Cricetulus griseus: one gene and its partners. The protein of the gene in region 1 purifies or fractionates together with the protein of each later gene. This does not show direct contact. Links are inferred from orthologs where the notes say so. Each region holds a gene or a part of one and is shown in the gene's direction. Other genes may lie near its edges.

Region 1 (3,514 bases):
TTTCATATGTCATGAGTCAGACCCTTCCTGTTTGTTTGCAGTAAATTGTTGGTGGCATTGATTTGTTGTAGGATATTTGTTCTGTTGCTCTCCACGTGTCTTAAGGCATGTTGTTTCTTGTTTTTTGTTTTTCTTTTTCTTTCTTTTTTTTTTTTGCACAGTATAGCTCTCATATGGCCCAGCGAGTGGCAGATGATTCAAAAGCTCTTTGTCGTGGATAAAGTAATCAAAATCACGAGAATTGCAGTCGGAGATGCGGGCCCTTCTGAAGTACAGTATATTTCTGAGCCTAGTAAGTTTTCCTATCTCTTTTCCTTTTATTATAAGTTGACAGTTTAAGGGGAAGGGAAGGGTTTGTCAGTAAAGGCTATGGAGTAGCTCAGACGCTTCTGGCAGACCTGTGAGCTGCCGTTGTTAGTTCCAGGCAGTACACAGATTCCCTCATCATTTACATGCTGCCTGACACATCAATTACTGAGTTGGCTGTGTAGTAACTGATGTCAGGTTTTTTGCAGCAATTCTTAAGTTTTTCTGATCTGCTCTGTTCTAGAACTCTGTCCAGATTGCAGAGAAGGCCTGCTGTGCCAGCAGCAGCGGGACCTACGAGAGTATACCCAAGCCACCATCTATGTCCACAAAGTTGTGGACAACAAAAAGGTACCAGTTCTTCTTGTGGCCATGACTACAGAATGTAGGCCATCAAATCTGCCTACTTAGTGTTGAACTTGAACAGTTGGAAAAAAGTAGAATTCCCAGTGTTGTCTGACTTCTGGTTTAAAAAATTGCCCTGCCTGTTGGGTTTAGCTATGATGGCATCATAGCAGGACAGGGAAAGGCAGCCTCAGCCTCAGCCTCAGCCTCAGCATAGATCTGAATGGCCAGTGAAATTAGAATTTGTGAGCATTCTTTCTGTATTAGTATTGACTTTGAGAATAGAGCATGAACATCCATCAGTTGAATTACAGGGTTTGGACAATTTTAAAGGCAGTTAGTTACTCGATGCATTGTATTAGAATGCTACTTTCCACATTAATGCATTACAGATATAGAGTTCTACTTCATAGATTAAAACAAAGGCCTTTATTTCCAAACATGTTGAGAAAAGGAACATGATATAAGCACCCCCACTTTCCCCCAGGATTTTCTTAACCCTGTTGACTTTCAGCCCATTTACATAGTAGAAGGAACAACCATTGTTTGAGTTTATTAGCTGTGCCCACAGTGTTATGCAGAAGAACATATTTTTTGTTTCTCAGTTCCTATATCAGGCGAGTCATAACCTGTAACTCTAGTTGCAGGGGATTTGATGTTTCTGGCATATGAGGCGCCTGAGCTACATGCAGATAAACATACATAGAAGAGATACCCAATTAGAAATAAAACTAGGCTGGGTGTGGTGGTGCATGCCTTTAATCTAGCAGAGTTCAAGACCAGCCTGGTCTGCATAGTTCCTGGACAGCTAGAGATACAATAGTGAGAGCTCTACATCAAAATGATAATAAAATATAGGTAAATAAATGAGTAACACTCAGAGGTAGGAAGGCCACAGGGTTAGACTATAAGAAGTTAAAAGCAAAGAAGGTGGTTGCCCACCCCCTACGGCATGCTCACCTAGGGCCTGACTCATTTCTCTCTGCTCCTGGTGCATTCAGGTGATGAAGGACTCAGCTCCAGAGTTGAATGTGAGTAGTTCTGAGACAGAAGAGGACAAGGAGGAAACTAAGCCAGATGGAGAGAAAGACCCTGACTTTAATCAAGTATGCACTGAAGCTCCTCCCATCCTTATCCTTCTTTTTACTCTGGGTACCTGGCATCTCTTCCCTGGCTGGAATATTGTTCTGGGTCTCTTTATACTTGTCCTGTATTTTTGTTTTCTTTAGTTTTTGTAGCATTGCACCATCTGTCCTAATTTCTAATCTGTCTGTCGGTCTCGGTCTCTCTCTCTCTCTCTCTCTCTCTCTCTCTCTCTCTCTCTCTCTCTCTCTCTCTCTCTCTCTCTCTCACACACACACACACACACACTATGTGCTGCATACATATCCATTTCTTTTAAGAAAGAAAACCTAGGTGTGGTGGCAGTGCTCACCTTTAAAGCACTCAGGCAGGTGTCTGAGGCCAGCCTAGTCTACTTAGAGAATCTGAGAATAGCCTGGTCTACATAGTGGAACCCTGCCTCAAAACAAGCAAAGAAAGAAAAAGTGCTGAATGTGACAGTTTGTGACTAAGACCATTGAGGAGGTTGAGGCAAGATTGCCCACCTGTGAGTTTAAGGCCATGGTGGGCCATAGTGAGGCTGTTTGGCTGGAATACCAGGCTGGAGAGATGGCTCAGAGGTTAAGGTCTTAAGTTAAAATTCCCAGCAACCCCATGGTGGCTCACAACCATCTGTAATGAGATGTGGTGCCCTCTTCTGGCATCCAGCCGTACATGTAAGCAGAACACTATACATAATATACATGCAGAGCACTCATACATAAAATAGAAATAAATTTTAAAAAGTAAAGTCTTGGTTGCCTCAAGAGAAATGTTGTTTGTACATACCCATCTGGTGTGGAAGGATATGTCAGTATTTTTTATCCATGCCTTGTTTGTATCTTAATAATAACCAAAATCAAATAGAATAACAAAAACCCATGAAGGAACAAAAACCCTTTGACAATGGGCAGGCAGATCTCAGTTTCCTTTGTTAAGCTTGGTAGCCTGTTTCCTTGGTACATTCTGTGGTAATGCTGGATGTCAGTTTGAGAGTTTTCTATCTGAGGTGCCCTACTGCCCTATTGAGATCTGTGTTGGTGTCTGCTGTTTCCTGAGGTGATGTTGTGTCTGTTCTCCTTTTTGAGACACAGGTTTGCTGGCCCTGCATGTGCCACATAACCCAGGTTGGCCTTGATCCCATAGTTTTCTTATTTGGCCTCCAAAGTGCTGGGATTGCTGGTGTGGCCACTCTGCCTGGCTGTAACGTGGACCTAGGAGTTTGCAGATGTGATTCAGTCAGTCTCTGTTTCCAGCTATGCTTTTCAGCCCAAGAGTTCTTTAGCCAACTCTACATTTTCATGTGATTCTGACTTTGAAAAGCTGGCTGTTTCTCTGAACATCCAGTTTTATTCACTGTGGTCATGACCACAGCAATGTTTTCAGGTGGATGTGGAATTCCTGTCCTTAGTTGTGGATGGCAACAGATTTTGCATGTACAAATAAGATGCAGAATGTTGGAGAGCATTGCTTTTTATGCCATAATTGTTTTGTACACGTTATAATTTTCCTCCATCTCCCTTGTCCATGTTTGGATATTGTAATACTCTAGAATGTTTTAAATACTTTTGGTTCAGGGCAGAGCAGGGGAGGGATCTCAATTCTAACCGCCAGTTAGAGCATTGTAACTAGTCCCTGGAGATACCTAGTGTCTTCAGAATGTCACCCCTCCCCCCACTTCTTTGTCTCAGAATGTGTTGGCTGGTTACACTTTGGTAAATCCACACCATAAACCGAGGCATTAGTGCCCCTAAATGGAGTT
Region 2 (3,008 bases), on another chromosome or scaffold:
GTGCTCAAAATGGTGACAATAAAGGATTGTCTTTTACTTGCTTCTCTCCCTCAACCTCTTTTTCTAGCCTTTGAGATACTTGAGGACTGAACTCTTTTTTTTTTTTTTTTTTTTTTTTTTGGTTTTTCGAGACAGGGTTTCTCTGTATAGCTTTGGAGCCTATCCTGGCACTCGCTCTGGAGACCAGGCTGGCCTCGAACTCACAGAGATCCACCTGCCTCTGTCTCCCAGTGCTGGGATACAAGGCTTGTGCAACCAACATCCGGCCTGAGGACTGAACTTTGTTAAGTGCTCTACCACTGAATAAATCTATACATCTATCCCCTATTTATCTTTCGTATGGGCATTTTAGGATCGATTGGAAGGGTTGGGGTGGGTACCCTTTCCAAGAGAATACCTACCTCTGTTCCATCAGACCCCTTCCTGCAAGAAGTGACAGAACTGAAACCAGACAGAACATGTTGAATAAATATTAAAATACTAACTTGTCGTAGCACAAAGGATCACAGCACTCAGTTTTCTGGCATAGGATTGTACTCTCAGGTTTCATTTCTTCTCCTTTAAACCCTCCCTTTGCCAAATTTGAGGAGGGCGTGGGAGTGCCCCTGACCTGGAAGGAGAACTCTTTCCCTTTTTAACTTTTGTTAAAATGTTTTTCGAAACAGGGTTTCCCCTTGTAACCCTGGCTGTCCTGGAACTCGCTTTGTTACCAGGCTAAGCTTGAACTCAGAGCTCCCCCTTCCTCCGCTTCCTGAGTGCTTGAATTAAAGGTGTGCACCACTATCGCTCGGCTAACCCTTTTACTTTAAAACCCTTGGCCGGCCCAGATTTCCCAGAGACAGTCATGCGCCTCCAGACTCCACCTTCCTAGTCTTCCGGTTCTGGTGGCGCGCAATAGCGTTTAAATTTCGCGCGCTTAATAAGGATTGGCCACTTCCATGGATGATTAGCCTGCTGTTTGCGGCCACTCCGCCTTGCTTTCTTCCCCGGGTAAAAGGTTTTCAAATTGGACCAATCGCTGGGCGAGCTCTTTTCGCCTAGGCGCGTCACCGAAGGGTTAATTCCAACCAACCAGAGGCCGGTACTGGGGAAAAGAGCCAATCAGGGGGAGGCGGGGGCGTGTCCATGGAGTTTATAAGGGCGAGCTCGCCCGCGCGCGGCGACAGTTGACTGCGGCGGTTGGCAGTTTTCTTTCGTCGTCGGTGTTGCTCTCTGCTTTCTACCTCGTATACGATGTCGGGTCGCGGTAAAACCGGAGGCAAGGCCCGCGCCAAGGCGAAATCGCGCTCCTCGCGCGCCGGTCTACAATTCCCGGTAGGCCGCGTGCATCGGCTGCTGAGGAAAGGCCACTATGCCGAGCGCGTGGGAGCCGGCGCCCCGGTGTACTTGGCGGCCGTGCTCGAGTACCTCACCGCTGAGATTCTGGAGCTGGCGGGCAACGCGGCGCGGGACAACAAGAAGACGCGCATCATCCCGCGCCACCTGCAGCTGGCCATCCGCAACGACGAGGAGCTCAACAAGCTTCTGGGCGGCGTGACGATCGCTCAGGGCGGCGTCCTGCCCAACATCCAGGCCGTGCTGCTGCCCAAGAAGACGAGCGCCACCGTGGGGCCCAAGGCGCCGGCGAGCGGCAAGAAGGCCACCCAGGCCTCTCAGGAGTACTGAGGGAGCCCGCGCCCTGGCCGCCCAGCCCTCCCCACACCTCCACAAAGGCCCTTTTAAGGGCCACCACCTCCCTCACGGAAAGAGCTGAGCCACTTAGGGCTGCGGGCCGGGCCGCCGCGTTCCCATTCTCTTCCCCTTTCTCTGCCATCGCGCGTTTCTGCCTCCCCTTCCCTGCACGGCCTCCGGGTCAGGCGCCGCGGTACTTATCCATCGCGGAGCTTCGCCGGTCTCCGTCTCGATGGGCCGCGCGGAGAGGTTGCGACACCTTCCAGAAGTGTCGGCCTTTTGCTGTGACGTACGGCTGAGGTGGGCCTGAAGGTGAGTTACTCTGCAGCTGCAACCCGGGCGTCCTTTCTTCAGCTTGGTGCTTTAGCCCTCGCCTGGACCTTCCAGAAGTGACTTGATTACCAGGCTTTGGTGAAGAGAAATGGATCATATTGTTTGGTCCTGTGTTTTCCCCTTCGTTGGCCTCATACCAGTTTACCCCATCTTCGTTCATCGGCCGGTGTGTGGTGTGGCCGGGACAAAATCACTGTAATATGAGCTGGTTTTCTCCAGGATGCCTCCTGGAAAGGGTTTGGGAGAAGCTTACAGGCCTGTGGACAGAAGAGCTGTGTTCTTGCCGCAGGAGACTGGCAGCCGGGCCTAGCTATCCCCTTTTCTTCCCAGCGACTCAATTCACAACCCAAACACCTAGATACCAGCACAAGTCGGTGAATCCCTATCTGGACTGAGCCTCTACTGGCTTCTGAACTGGAATTTTGCAGCTATCCCAAGTTTAGAACCTTAGGTAGTGGGGAGTTTCAATGGGCTAATTTTATTAAATGGTTGTTCTGTTTTTTTAAAAGATGGAGTGTCTTGATTAATTTCGAATTGCTGTAGGCCCGGGGTTGGGGTTCTATAGCTCCGTGGTAGAGCCATGTACCTGGCATGTGTTGTGTTGGGAGGTGGGAGTGGAATTGTAAGTTCCCTTAGAGCAGTGGGGATGGGCAAGACTGTAATACAAGTAGGTTCTGTTAACTGAAAACAGGCAGGCTGTAGGAATTGAGGCAGTTTTCTCTTTGCTCGGTGCTTCCTGGGATGCATTCTGAGAACATGAGGCAATTAGAAAGTATTTCAACAGAGAAGTCCCAGACTCAGAATTCAGGTTTAAAAGGGCTTTGGGTTTATTTATATTTTCCCCAATTCCACCAAAACAACCACATTGAGAGCTGGTTTAATATTAGTGGCATTGGTTACATTCGAGATTGGCACTGACTTTTTCTAAAGAGATGAAGCCCTAACTACTGAGGAGGAAAGGCGCAGTCATCAAGGCCCCAAGGTGATTCGTGTCTCTGGAAGTC
Region 3 (3,514 bases), on another chromosome or scaffold:
CATCATCGTATCTGAAATTAGATGAGCTTCCATAGCCTCTTCTTTTTTTCACATCTTGCTGAAGCAGAGTTTTGAAAAAAAAAAAAAAAAAAACACAAATTCTGCTATTCCCCAGAAAAAATCTGTTATAAAAGACAATCTCCATGGGGACTGATTTCGACTGTCCAACACTTGTCCATTCGAGATGTAAACCATCATTCCTCCGCTTGCCCGCTTAATAAAAGACTTGACAAGGGTACTAATTCTTAGTCATCATAGCTGATGGGAGTGGGATGGGGATAAGGTGAGAGGAGAGGGAGAAGTAACTGGAGTTGCAATGTAAAATAAAAGTTACTTAATGGTGGGAAAAAAATTTCTGTCCTTTAACAATGACTAAAGTCATCATTTTTTTCCTCATGTATTTGCCTTCAAGTTTTAAAAACTAATTCTCCAAATTACATTAACTGCTGTATTGTAATTCTTACTGTTTTTATGCTTCAGATATTGAACAGTTCTAAAAACACAAGCAAATAGCTTGTTTTTAAGGAGCAGAAGGTTCAGATTAGCTGGACTTACTGGATCAGCAGGATCAGGGAGTCACAGTTATCTTAAGCTACATAGTGAGACCCTATCTCAAAATAAAAAAATAAGCTTAGTAACCTATTCATACCTTTAAACATACCACTTTAGGGGAAAGAATTACCAAAAGTCTCAGAGAGAGGGTGAGTATGTGTATGTTAGAGAGTGTGTATGTGAGAGAGAAAGAGTGTGGGTGAGGGAGTGTCGGGGGTGGGGTGGGGGGGAGTATAGATGAGCGTATGGACATGTGCATGCCATGGCACACACACGGAGGTCAGAGGATAAACTTGGGTGCTGGTCCTCCCTTTGCTGGTTCTTCTGATGCTTGCACCAGGCTAGTTGACCTACAAGCTTCAAGGGCTACTCCTGTGTCTGCCTTCTCTCTCTGTAGAGGCACTGGGATTACAGATTTTCACATTTGTGTAGATTCTGGAACCTCAAATTAGGTCCTCATGCTGTGTATCAAGCTCTTTACTTACTCTTAGCTTTCTCAGGTTTTACCAGGAATAAAATCTGACTTTACAAACAACTTTGCTACAGCTGAACTTTTAATTCTTTAAAAGCAGCTAGTCGTTCATCTGCTTAGGCATGCTTACCATCTTTTGTTAGATAAATCAGTAATTCTCAAAGTTCTGTGATTTCATGTGTGAACCAGTAAAATTTCATTATATGTCATGTTAATAGTCTTGAAAGTGATATTGGAAATCACTAATCTGAAATATTCAAAGAGATGCACAAATGATTTTGTTAGTTGTCAGAGAGAAAATGTTTCAAAGTAATATTTATGGGTTAAATTTTGAGTAGTATCAAAGATTTACTTTTATAATCCACATGGCAGCAGCTAATGTCACAAATGGCTTTTCTTATTTCACTATTTACTGTTTTTTATACACTAACTTCTTTAGTTTGGTGGTCCTAATGCCATTGTTTTCATGTTCTTTTATAACTTCAGTTGCTTATTTCTTTATACATTTTCATTTTGTTCATAACAAAAATGGTTATGATTAATATTTTTGTTAACTAAGCAATGCTTTCAGTGGGTCCTTCAGCTTTGTTACTTGTATATTTCTTTATTAGAAATCTGGTTATTTGAAAATTTTATACGTGTACATTTTTACCTTGCTTTTTATCTCATAAAACCTTTACCATAACTAGCATGCGCTCTTCTGATTACTCTGGTCAGGTGACCTTCAGATGGCAGTGCTTTCATTTGAAAAAGATGATGACAATAATGGACACATAGATTTCATCACAGCTGCATCCAACCTTCGAGCCAAAATGTATAGCATTGAACCAGCTGACCGGTTTAAAACTAAGCGCATAGCTGGTAAAATTATCCCTGCTATAGCAACATCTACTGCTGCAGTTTCTGGCTTGGTAAGTTTATTCTTCTAAAAAGTCTCAGATCTTCCCAACATCACACCAACTTTAGCTGGCCAAGCAGAATTTAGAGATGAAGGGATTAAAAAAAAAAATGGATCTTATAATTTAAACTTTCAAGATATTTCTGAAAATATAATGAGGTATATCTCTAAGTCCTAGGTCCTATGTATAAAAATAGTGTTAATAAACTCAAGATAGAGTATAGTTGTTGTCAATGACTTTTCCTTCCCTCCTGAGTTTGGGGGCGGTGGAAAGAAGGGACCCAGCCCAACAGCTAGCTCAGGAGCAGGTCCTGGAACCCAGGAGACCATTCTGGAACCTTAGGAGTACTTGATTGTGAGAACCCAGGGAGAGACAACCAGACAGACTCAGAGGAAAGATGTAGTATACCATCCTCCTAGAGCACAGGGCCAAAGGCAGCAACACAGGATCACCTGGCCATCCTGTCACTTTCCCGTCCACCCTCCACAGAAATCATGTCACTCTCCATGTCAAGTAGATAGTCTCTTGAGAAAGATAATTAAGACCATTTATTATATTGTACTCTATCAGTACTCTACAAAATTGGAGTTAGTTGTCTGTTCCTTTATTGGTTAAATTGCTTTAGTTTTGAGTTATGGTGTCTGCTTTGAAAATAGGATGATTAAATAGTGAAATAACTTTGTTCACTATATATATATAGAATAGACTGAATATTAAAAGTAAAATGTACTAAAAATGTCAGATAAATAAGAAATACATTTTACTGTAAGTGTATAGCTGTTCTTACTATTTACAGAGACATCCAGGCTTGAACCTTCACAAGGAACAAGACTGATAAAATCCCAAGAAGCTTTAACTTTTTGTTCTCTAGGTAATCATGTCACCTTCTCTTATTTAGGTTGCCTTGGAAATGATCAAAGTAGCTGGTGGCTATCCCTTTGAAGCTTATAAAAACTGTTTCCTTAATTTAGCCATTCCAATAATAGTGTTTACAGAGACATCTGAAGTAAGAAAAACTGAAATCAGGTATGTATAAAAGTCTGTTTTTCTTCCATAATGAGAAAGAAAGTACATTCTACCCTTAGGAAGGAAGCATACTGGTTTTCATCTCTATTTCTTGTTAATCCTTTCTGCTATTTCAGGACCCAGTCAAACGTCATCTTGATGAATTATTTCCAAGTAGACTAGCTAGAGCATCCTCACAATAGTTGTTTTCTCACACCATTTACGATTATACTTTAGGGTTCCTAACTTGGATAATTTTGAAGGCATTCTTGTCTGACTATACACTGTGAAATTTAGAATCTAATTCTGCACATTTATAACAACAGAAATCAATTCCTGAGTGTCTGTTTTTGACATTTCAGGTTGGCCACAGCCAGAAATGTGAGTAGAAGTATCTTGTCAGGAAGAGCTAATCCTCTTACCACCCTCATACATTACTTATGAAAACACAAAATAAAGTAATCCATATAAATGAAATAAGGTGCTATTGCACACATGCCAAATTACATATATTCCAAGGTGATCATTCTAGCATACTTATGACAGCCAATGATTTGGACACTCCAAATGTTCAGATATTGATAAC
Region 4 (4,276 bases), on another chromosome or scaffold:
CAATCAGCCCCTTGTAGGAAGGCCAGTCACGTTTCTGACTACTCTCAATGAGCAAAAGCAATCTATTCAGGGAAGACCCACCCACCACCCACCCATCCATCCACCCATCCCACCCATCCATCCATCCATCCACCCCCCCCACCCACCACCCACCCATCCACCCCATCCATCCATCCATCCATCCATCCACTCATCCATCCATCCATCCATTCATCCACCCACCTGTCCATCCTTCCTTTCTCCTCTACAGCTCAGTGTACAGCTCATTCTCACCCCCAATTATAAAGTTCAATCACACCCAAGGGTAACAGGAAACTCAGGTTGGCAGTCAGGATGGAATCGTGTGGGTAAGGCCTGTGAATTTAGGGGTCTCCCTCCTGGAAGAGGTGGGGCAGCACAGGTCCGCTGACCTGTGGGTTCCCACAATGGTTCAGGGAGGAGGCCGCACATTGAGCGAGGTCCGCGCATGTCGGGTGGGTCCCGTGTACCTGTCACGAGTGTGCAGGTGCATGTATGTGTTCGGGTGTCGCAAGCAGCCCCCTCCCCAACCCCCTGACACAGTATCCCCTTCCTTGGGACCCAGAGCAGCGTCTTCCCTGGCCTCTCACAGTCTCATCCCCCTACCTGAGGCGTCTCTAGGCCAGAGCACTGCGTGCACCACAGCCTCTCTGGTTACCCGCTCCAAGTGCGAGCTGCCAGCAGCAGAGTCGGGGTGACACCTGATCAGGAAGGGGGGGCATCCGCCCAGGGGGACGGGATGAGCCCAGAGAGGGAGGACTGCTGTTGGCCAGCCTGCTCATGTGGGCAGCCCCAAGGACTGCTGCCCCCATCGCCGTGGCCTGGTCCCGTCTGACCACCAGCAGGCACAGGGGTCAGGATGGACTGCCACAGGAGGGGATCACAGGAGGTGCTTCTGACCCAGTATCCCCTTCCCCATCTCTCTCTGCGTCTCCGGGCCCCTCTGTGTAACGTGGGGACCTGACCGTGATGCTCTGTGCTATCCCCAGAAACAAAGCTGAGAACATGCTGGCAGGGCGCCCGGGGGAGGGGGTGCCTGTGAACCCCAAGTTCCCATTCATTCTATCCTGTGGCTCAGAAAGGGGCAGACACGGGCTGACAGCCGCACAGCAGAGACCCAAAGGCCGCCCAGGGTCTCACGACCTCTAGACGGGCTTCGAACTCCCGCCGCGGCTGTATGCACGAGGGGTGAGCTCTACCCACGGAGTGAGAGTTCCGGGGGTTGTTTTTAATGGTTTTTGTTGCTGGTTTTGTCGCTTTTCTGAAACAGGGTCTCATTGCACAGCCAGGCTGGGCTGGGACTCGGTTCCTGCGAGCGCGCCGGGGACGAGAAGGGAAGGCTCGCGAGGCAGCCCGCAAGTCTCTGCCAGCACTAAAGATGGCGCCCGCGGCGTCAGTGCGGCGCGCGCGCTCCGGGGGGAAACACCTCCTCCGCCTCTAACGCTCCCACCCCGGCGGTCCCTTCCCCATTTCCGGCGGAAGCGGCCTCAACAAGGGAAACTTTATTGTTCCCGTCTGCGCTGTTGGCGACGATGTCGGTGAATTACGCAGCCGGGCTGTCGCCGTATGCGGATAAGGGCAAGTGCGGGCTGCCGGAGGTGAGGCCACGGTGTCCCGGTCGCCAGACGGGGGCCCGGACGAGTGGGGCATTGTGGGGACAGCACGAAACACGGAGTGTAGACAGCGGGAAGGACTTTCCTGGAAGGAGGACCCCGCGGGCGGGGTGGGTGCGGTGCGGTGGGGTCCGTCCCTGAGCCCAGCTGTGCCCCCGTCCCCACAGATCTTCGACCCCCCGGAGGAGCTGGAGCGGAAGGTGGGGGAGCTGGCCCGGCTGATGCTGCAGGCCTCCAGCGTGGTTTTCCACACGGGCGCCGGCATCAGCACCGCCTCCGGCATCCCCGACTTCAGGTCTGTGAACGAGCACGGGAAACTGAGGCAGGGCGCTGGCGGGGACGGCCGTGAGGTGGGGCAGCCGCCACAGATCCCGGCGATGTGTGGCTGCAGGGGATGCTGGGACGCGTCTGCGGGGTCCCCGGCTGCGGGGTCCCCGGCTGGCCGGCTGGCTCTCCCCGACAGGGACCCAGCCCGCAGCACACACTGACTTCAGGCTCCCAGGACGAGGCCTGCACTCGAAAAGGAACTTCTGTCCTCTGCTCGCTGTCCTCAGAGGCCCCCACGGCGTGTGGACCATGGAAGAGCGTGGCCTGGCCCCCAAGTTTGACACCACCTTCGAGAACGCCCGGCCCTCCAAGACCCACATGGCCCTGGTGCAGCTGGAGCGCTCGGGCTTCCTCAGCTTCCTCGTCAGCCAGAATGTGGACGGGCTGCACGTACGCTCGGGCTTCCCCAGGTCAGATGGGACTGGACCAGGGGCGTGGGGCTCAGCTGCACCCCTTCCTTATCCGGGAACCAGGCTGCCTGCCCGGGGTCAGGGACATTTTATTGGAGATGGAAAGGGGGGAAGAGCTTGGAGCCTAAAGTAGGCCAGCACTTGGTCAATGGGGGGGTTTCTAGGTGGGGCTCCACCCTGAGCCACGCCCCCAGCCCCTCACTGGGGGCGTCTAGGCAAGTGCTCTAAGGCCAACAGATTGTTTTCTGTTTTTTTGTTTTTTAAGATTTTCGAGACAGGGTTTCTCTGTGTAGCATTGGAACCTATCCTGGAACTAGCTCTGTAGACCAGGCTGGCCTCGAACTCACAGAGATCCGCCTGCCTCTGCCTCCCGAGTGCTGGGATTAAAGGCGTGCGACACCACGGTCCATCTGGCCAACAGATTTTTGTAGTGGGGAGCAGCTATTTGTGTTTGCAGAGATAGGGTCATCGCCACCTGTAACAATTCCTCAGCCTAGACCTTGTGGGTGAGCAGCCTAGGAAGGCTTTCTGGAGGAAGAGGCAGGCTGAGCAACTGGTCCAAGCCTCAGGGTTCAGGGAGGAAGGGACCTGACTCTCATTCTCTTCCGCAGGGACAAGCTGGCTGAGCTCCATGGAAACATGTTTGTAGAGGAATGTCCCAAGTGTAAGACGTGAGTGTCCGCAAGTGAAGACCGGCAGGGGAGGGGCTCTCCCAGGGTGGGGCTCTCCCAGGTTCCTCCGCTGAACCAGCTAACAGGTCCTGAAATGGCCCCAGGGAAAGCTGGGAGGTGCCTCTGATTCCAGTGACAGTCAGTTAAAAACAGACAAGCTATGAGGAGGTCCCCCAAGCAAGAAGCTACAAAACAGGGCGACACAAGCCACATCCTTGGAAGTGAGGGGTTCTCCCTGCCCCACCCCCCTGCTGTGGCTCCCAGCCAGCAGACAACATTGCTTTACACCAGATCCTCGAGGGTGTTAGGCAAGAGCTGTGCCCCTGAGCTTCAGCCCCTGACCCCCTCTTTAAGTTGCCTCTGCTTCCTGGTGCTGAGATCACAGCCAATGAGCCATCATGTTTGGCCACCCCACACACACACTGGTGGATGGTCTTGTATTGTTGTTGGTTTGGTTTTTTGCTGTTGTCATTTGGAGGGGGGGGGTTTAAGGATTTACCCATTTACTTAATGTATGAGTGTTCTGCCTGCTTGTACGCCTTTATGTCAGAAGAGGGCACCAGATCTCATTACAGGTGGTTGTGAGCCACCAGGTGGTTGCTGGAAATTGAGCCTGGGTCCTCTGGAAAAGCGGTTAGTGCTCTCCAGCCCCAGCATCAGGTGTCTTAACTCAACCCCTCTCCTTGTGTTCTGAAGCACAGTCTCTCAGAACCTGTCAATTGCTGGTTTTGCTGAGTGGCCAGGAACCTCCTGGGGTCTCCAGCGCTGGGGTGGTAAATCTGCTCCATTGTGCCGCCTTTTGAACTCAGGGCCTCATGTCTGCATGTCAAGCCCTTCCCAGACTGAGGCACCTGTCTTTGTATCCCTAGGCTGTTGGTCTTGCAGTGTAGCCCAGGGATTGAGCCTGTACCCCATACACTGGTTACACCACCCCCAGACCCCTGAAAGAGCGCTAGACAAGTCACATCCCCCTCCTTCCCCCCTGTACAGGCAATACGTGAGAGAGACAGTCGTGGGTACCATGGGCCTCAAGGCCACGGGCCGGCTCTGCACAGTGGCCAAGGCCAGGGGCCTAAGGGCCTGTAGGTGAGTAACCTTCCTCACACCTGCCCCTGTCAGGAAGTGAGGGCCCTAACTCCCTTCCCTGACCTGCTGCAGGGGGGAGCTGAGGGACACCATTCTGGACTGGGAGGACGCACTGCCTGAACGGGACCTGATGCTCGCTGATGAGGCCAGC
Region 5 (4,173 bases), on another chromosome or scaffold:
GATGACCTTTAATTTCTGATCCTATGAGTGCTGGGATTACTGGTAGGTGTGGTGGAGTTAGGGATCAAGCTTAGGGCTTCCTGCATGCTAAAGAGCACTCTACTGAGTTGCCTCCCCAGCCCTTACTTTTCAGTAAGTGGTATCCATCTTTAAGTTATGTGTCACTTTTTAAAAGTGGTACATGCGAGGATCAATGATGGCCGTGAGCCATTAATCAGAGATCATAATTCATTCTGTCGCCTTGAAGTCCGCCCCCGCAAAACAGCAAACTGCCTTTTCTAATCTTTGCCAAGTGAGAAACTGAAATGAGTAGGAGGGGCGGTAACTATTTTCACTTTTGTCTTCCTGTTTTTTTCAGAGCCTGGGAAAGCAAGTCAGAATTTCCAATCTTTTCCAATTCCCTCATGATTTCCTAATTTAGAATGACTTCAGAGAAAATAAGTCTTTCTCCATGTGCTGAAGCCTTTTTATTCTGGCACTGGGAAACAGCCTAAGTGGAGAGCACTCTAGCCCAGGCCCCCACCCTCAACCAGCACGCCTAGGTGCAATTTTCGCACCCTGAAAACGCTGTTATCACTGAAGCCTGGGCCCAAGTGGGAAGCCTTCAGGAGATGTGCAAGCAAGATGTGACCCCGGCTGCTTCTGCAGATGCCTAAGGGTCTAGACTTTAGCAGAAAGCACCTATCTGCAGAGATGAAGCCGTGGGGTTTGACCCTGGGCGTCTTCCAGCACGCACTGCCCTCCGGGACTCTTAGATCAAGTCCTCAGAGAGAGGCACAGGTGTCCAGCCTTCGGCCTCTCTCTCTCCCTCTCTCCCCACGGCCTCAGTGAAGCAGGCTCCACGGAGCATGGCTCCCCGACTCCTGCGAGTGCAGCTGGATCTAGGATGAGGAGGAGATGGCCTATAACGCGCCGCGGTCCCCAGCAGGCCTGGCACGCTGAGGAAAGCGTGTGGAATTCAGTCACCGGCCTCTGCGGGCGCAGCAGGCCTGGGCCTCTCCCTGAGCGCGGGGAATGGCCGCAGCCTGCCAGCAGCCCTGGCTCTGCTCCAGACCGGGCCAGGGTGACATCACCAAACTCCTGCGATCAGAACGGGGCGGGGAACAGGACCCGAAATCCCCTAAAAACAGAGTGAGTAATCGCGGGACCGCCCTCCAGGCGGGGCCGGGGCCGGGACCCCGAGCGAGGCGCGTTGCGCAGCCCGGGAGCGGCCTGCAGCCCGGCGGGCCTCGGGACGAGTAGCCTCGGCGCCCTCGCGCCGCGCCCGGTGCCCCCGCCTGAGCGCCGCACACCTCCCGCGCCCTGCGAGAGTGGCACACCTCCTCCCGGGACCCACGCGCGGCGGCGGCCGCAGCACAGCGCGCAGGCGCGGCCGGATTCCGGGCAGTGACGCGACGGCGGGCGGGCGCGCGCCGCGCATTTCCGCCTCTGGCGAATGGCTTCGCTTTAGCGCGCCGCGGGCTCAGCTGCGACCCCGGCCCCGCCCCCGGGACCCCGGCCATGGACGGTGAGGCGGCCCTCTGACCCCGCGGGGTGGCTGCCCTCGAGCCCCCGGGCCCGCGGCGCGAGCCCTCCCGCGCCGTCTTCCGCCCCTTTCTGCGCCGCGGGGTGCCGCGCAGGGAGCCGCAGGCCGGATGGTGGCGCGGGGCGGGGCGGGCTGCGGGGGATCTGACTCAGTTACCCCTCTCGGTGGAGGGCGCCTTGACTTTGTCCCTCCTGGGTGGAAGTGCGGGTGAATCTTGCCTCTGTTTCCTCGGCGCCCCCCTCCCTCTCCGGTGTCGATGCGATTAGTTTTGGCTTCCTTTCCTTGTAAGGAAGAAAGTATCTGACTCAGTTTCCCCGAAGAGAAGAGGGAGGTAGTGTCTTTCCTTAGTGTCCCTTATGAACGCAAAACTGGCCTTGACTCAGTTTCCCCGGGCAGAGGAATGCCTCCATGCCCCTTTTCTCTCGTAGAGAGATGCTGCTGCCTTCTTGGCCCTGCCTCGTTCAGGGCAGGTTGTGAAGTCTTGACTCAGTTTCCTTGAGAGGGAGCTTGTTTCTATCGTCCCTTCCCTGGTGAGGATGGGCAGTGAGTGGAGTTTACTGACAATGTCTTTCCTTTTTAGATCTATTTCCCATCATCTTCCCCTCAGGTAAGTGGACCATCCTTCCTCAGTGGGTAGGGCTGTCCTGGAGTAGGGGCCATGGGGGCAGCACTTGATGGCTGGCTGTGTCACCTAGAGCCAACCCAGGCTTCTGGGCCTTATGTGGAGATCATCGAGCAGCCCAAACAACGGGGCATGCGTTTCCGCTACAAGTGTGAGGGTCGCTCAGCAGGCAGTATTCCGGGTGAGAGAAGCACAGATACCACCAAGACACACCCCACCATCAAGGTAGGCACCAGCTCCCAGGGGTTGGGAACTGATGTGGTGAGAGGCACTTGGAGCCCCAGCAGACCTGCCTCCTTGCCACCGTGCCCTGTGTCTAGGAGCCAGGTTTGGGATTGCTGGCCCCTAGAGTACTCTGTACTTTGGACAGATCAATGGCTACACGGGACCAGGAACAGTTCGAATCTCCCTGGTCACCAAGGACCCACCTCACCGGCCTCATCCACATGAACTTGTGGGGAAAGACTGCCGGGATGGTTTCTATGAGGCTGAACTCTGCCCAGACCGCTGCATCCACAGGTGAGCTCTTTACAGGCCGGGGTAGAGTGAGGTCAGTGGATAGGAGGCAGGGTAGGAGCAGACAAGGCCAGGTGGCTGTTAACAGTGTTACCCCTTTCTAGACACAGGCAGAATTCTGAGTCCTTGCTCTGTACCCAGCTCTGCAAACAGACCTTCTTTGTCTTAAATTCTCTGACAGACAGGAACTCCACGGGATAAGGATCACCTTATCACCTTGGAGCCACAGACACTTGTGGCTGAACAGGCCAGTCTCTTAGTGTCTCTCATATGAGAAAGATATCCATAATGGACTCTCCTGGAACATAAACACCAGCTGACAAAATCAGGCAATAAATAACTGTACGAACAGATAGACAAGATACCACTTGAGAATAGTAATTTCTATGATGAAAAGAAAGCACAGTAGCAAATTGGAAGGATGAAGAGGAGGCTAGCCTCATTGCTTGGAGACAGAGTCTCATATAGCCCAAGCTGGCCTTGAACTCATTAGGATTCATCTGGCTCTTCCTGTCAACTCCGAGGATAACAGGCATGTACCACCATGTCCTGATACGGGTCTCATGACTTTGGGTTGAAAGGTTACAGAAGGCCTGTCTGCTAACGCTTAAGTGATGAGGAAAGGCAGACAAGTCTAAAAGTATATTCCATGCTCAAGAAAGAAGTCCAGTGACCTTGAAGAGGGAATAAATTTAGTGGGCTTAGGAATGGCTAAGGGTGGGACGCTGGCTTGGAGGCTTGCTTTGGCTAGATTCCACAGAGGCTTGCTGACGGGCAAGGAGGGAGTTTCATTGCAGCCCAGTGGAATAGACTTGGGAGTGGGAGGCAGGAATGGGCTTTGCTGCAGACACAAAACTGATGCCTGAGACACCACAGCTTTCAGAACCTGGGGATCCAGTGTGTGAAGAAGCGAGACCTGGAGCAAGCCATCAGCCAGCGCATCCAGACCAACAACAACCCCTTTCAAGGTAGGAGCAAGGGGCAAAGACATAGCCTACCTGTGGCGTCCACATCTCCATCACTTCCCCGGGCCTCTGCAGTCCCCTCCCTCCATGACCAGGCAAACAGTCTAAGTGGAACCTGCTAGCTTGGTACACTCACATTACCATCCAGAGTCAGGCCTAGAGAGGGATCACGTCTTCCATGTTGCAGTAGAGCCAGTGATGAGTCTAGAATTTTGTCTTCCTCCCTGAGACTTCTGTTGTGCTTGTCTCCCTTCGCTCAGAGCTCCCTGCCCTCCGTGACTCCCCTCATCCCTCTGTTTTTCTGACAGTTCCTATAGAGGAGCAGCGTGGGGACTATGACCTGAATGCAGTGCGCCTCTGCTTCCAGGTGACGGTGCGGGACCCATCAGGCAGGCCCCTCCGCCTGACTCCTGTCCTCTCTCATCCTATTTTTGATAACCGTGAGTGGCCGCCTCTAGTAAGGGGAAAGGGAGGGTCTGGAAGAGAAAGGGGGCTGGAGTGGGTGTGACCTGTGAAGAGTGCTCTGGTTCCCTTTAGTCCTCCAG

What was found.
Region 2: the proteins of Usp48 (region 1) and histone H2AX purify together in Homo sapiens (affinity purification with mass spectrometry; 3 studies listed by BioGRID). This does not show direct contact. The link is inferred for Cricetulus griseus from reciprocal best matches to the Homo sapiens genes USP48 and H2AX.
Region 3: the proteins of Usp48 (region 1) and Uba6 fractionate together in Homo sapiens (co-fractionation; 3 studies listed by BioGRID, with this or other methods). This does not show direct contact. The link is inferred for Cricetulus griseus from reciprocal best matches to the Homo sapiens genes USP48 and UBA6.
Region 4: the proteins of Usp48 (region 1) and Sirt6 purify together in Homo sapiens (affinity purification with mass spectrometry; 3 studies listed by BioGRID, with this or other methods). This does not show direct contact. The link is inferred for Cricetulus griseus from reciprocal best matches to the Homo sapiens genes USP48 and SIRT6.
Region 5: the proteins of Usp48 (region 1) and Rela purify together in Homo sapiens (affinity purification with mass spectrometry; 3 studies listed by BioGRID, with this or other methods). This does not show direct contact. The link is inferred for Cricetulus griseus from reciprocal best matches to the Homo sapiens genes USP48 and RELA.

The regions. Positions count from the first base shown.
Region 1 is NC_048595.1:15,692,554-15,696,067, reverse strand, and holds part of Usp48 (ubiquitin carboxyl-terminal hydrolase 48), read left to right. Parts: intron 1-161; coding exon 162-292; intron 293-550; coding exon 551-657; intron 658-1,652; coding exon 1,653-1,757; intron 1,758-3,514.
Region 2 is NC_048597.1:156,021,751-156,024,758, forward strand, and holds histone H2AX, read left to right. Parts: upstream 1-1,152; 5' UTR 1,153-1,233; coding exon 1,234-1,665; 3' UTR 1,666-2,508; downstream 2,509-3,008. UniProt on the Homo sapiens protein: Variant histone H2A which replaces conventional H2A in a subset of nucleosomes. Nucleosomes wrap and compact DNA into chromatin, limiting DNA accessibility to the cellular machineries which require DNA as a template.
Region 3 is NW_023276807.1:151,369,237-151,372,750, reverse strand, and holds part of Uba6 (ubiquitin-like modifier-activating enzyme 6), read left to right. Parts: exon of another isoform or gene 1-195; intron 196-1,741; coding exon 1,742-1,935; intron 1,936-2,821; coding exon 2,822-2,949; intron 2,950-3,514. UniProt on the Homo sapiens protein: Activates ubiquitin by first adenylating its C-terminal glycine residue with ATP, and thereafter linking this residue to the side chain of a cysteine residue in E1, yielding a ubiquitin-E1 thioester and free AMP.
Region 4 is NC_048598.1:102,384,272-102,388,547, reverse strand, and holds the start of Sirt6 (NAD-dependent protein deacetylase sirtuin-6), read left to right. Parts: upstream 1-1,464; 5' UTR 1,465-1,550; coding exon 1,551-1,616; intron 1,617-1,798; coding exon 1,799-1,926; intron 1,927-2,125; coding exon 2,126-2,368; intron 2,369-2,979; coding exon 2,980-3,039; intron 3,040-4,029; coding exon 4,030-4,125; intron 4,126-4,197; coding exon 4,198-4,276. UniProt on the Homo sapiens protein: NAD-dependent protein deacetylase, deacylase and mono-ADP-ribosyltransferase that plays an essential role in DNA damage repair, telomere maintenance, metabolic homeostasis, inflammation, tumorigenesis and aging.
Region 5 is NC_048596.1:53,708,038-53,712,210, reverse strand, and holds the start of Rela (transcription factor p65), read left to right. Parts: upstream 1-1,373; 5' UTR 1,374-1,500; coding exon 1,501-1,507; intron 1,508-2,105; coding exon 2,106-2,132; intron 2,133-2,220; coding exon 2,221-2,372; intron 2,373-2,496; coding exon 2,497-2,666; intron 2,667-3,539; coding exon 3,540-3,631; intron 3,632-3,936; coding exon 3,937-4,068; intron 4,069-4,173. UniProt on the Homo sapiens protein: NF-kappa-B is a pleiotropic transcription factor present in almost all cell types and is the endpoint of a series of signal transduction events that are initiated by a vast array of stimuli related to many biological processes such as inflammation, immunity, differentiation, cell growth, tumorigenesis and apoptosis.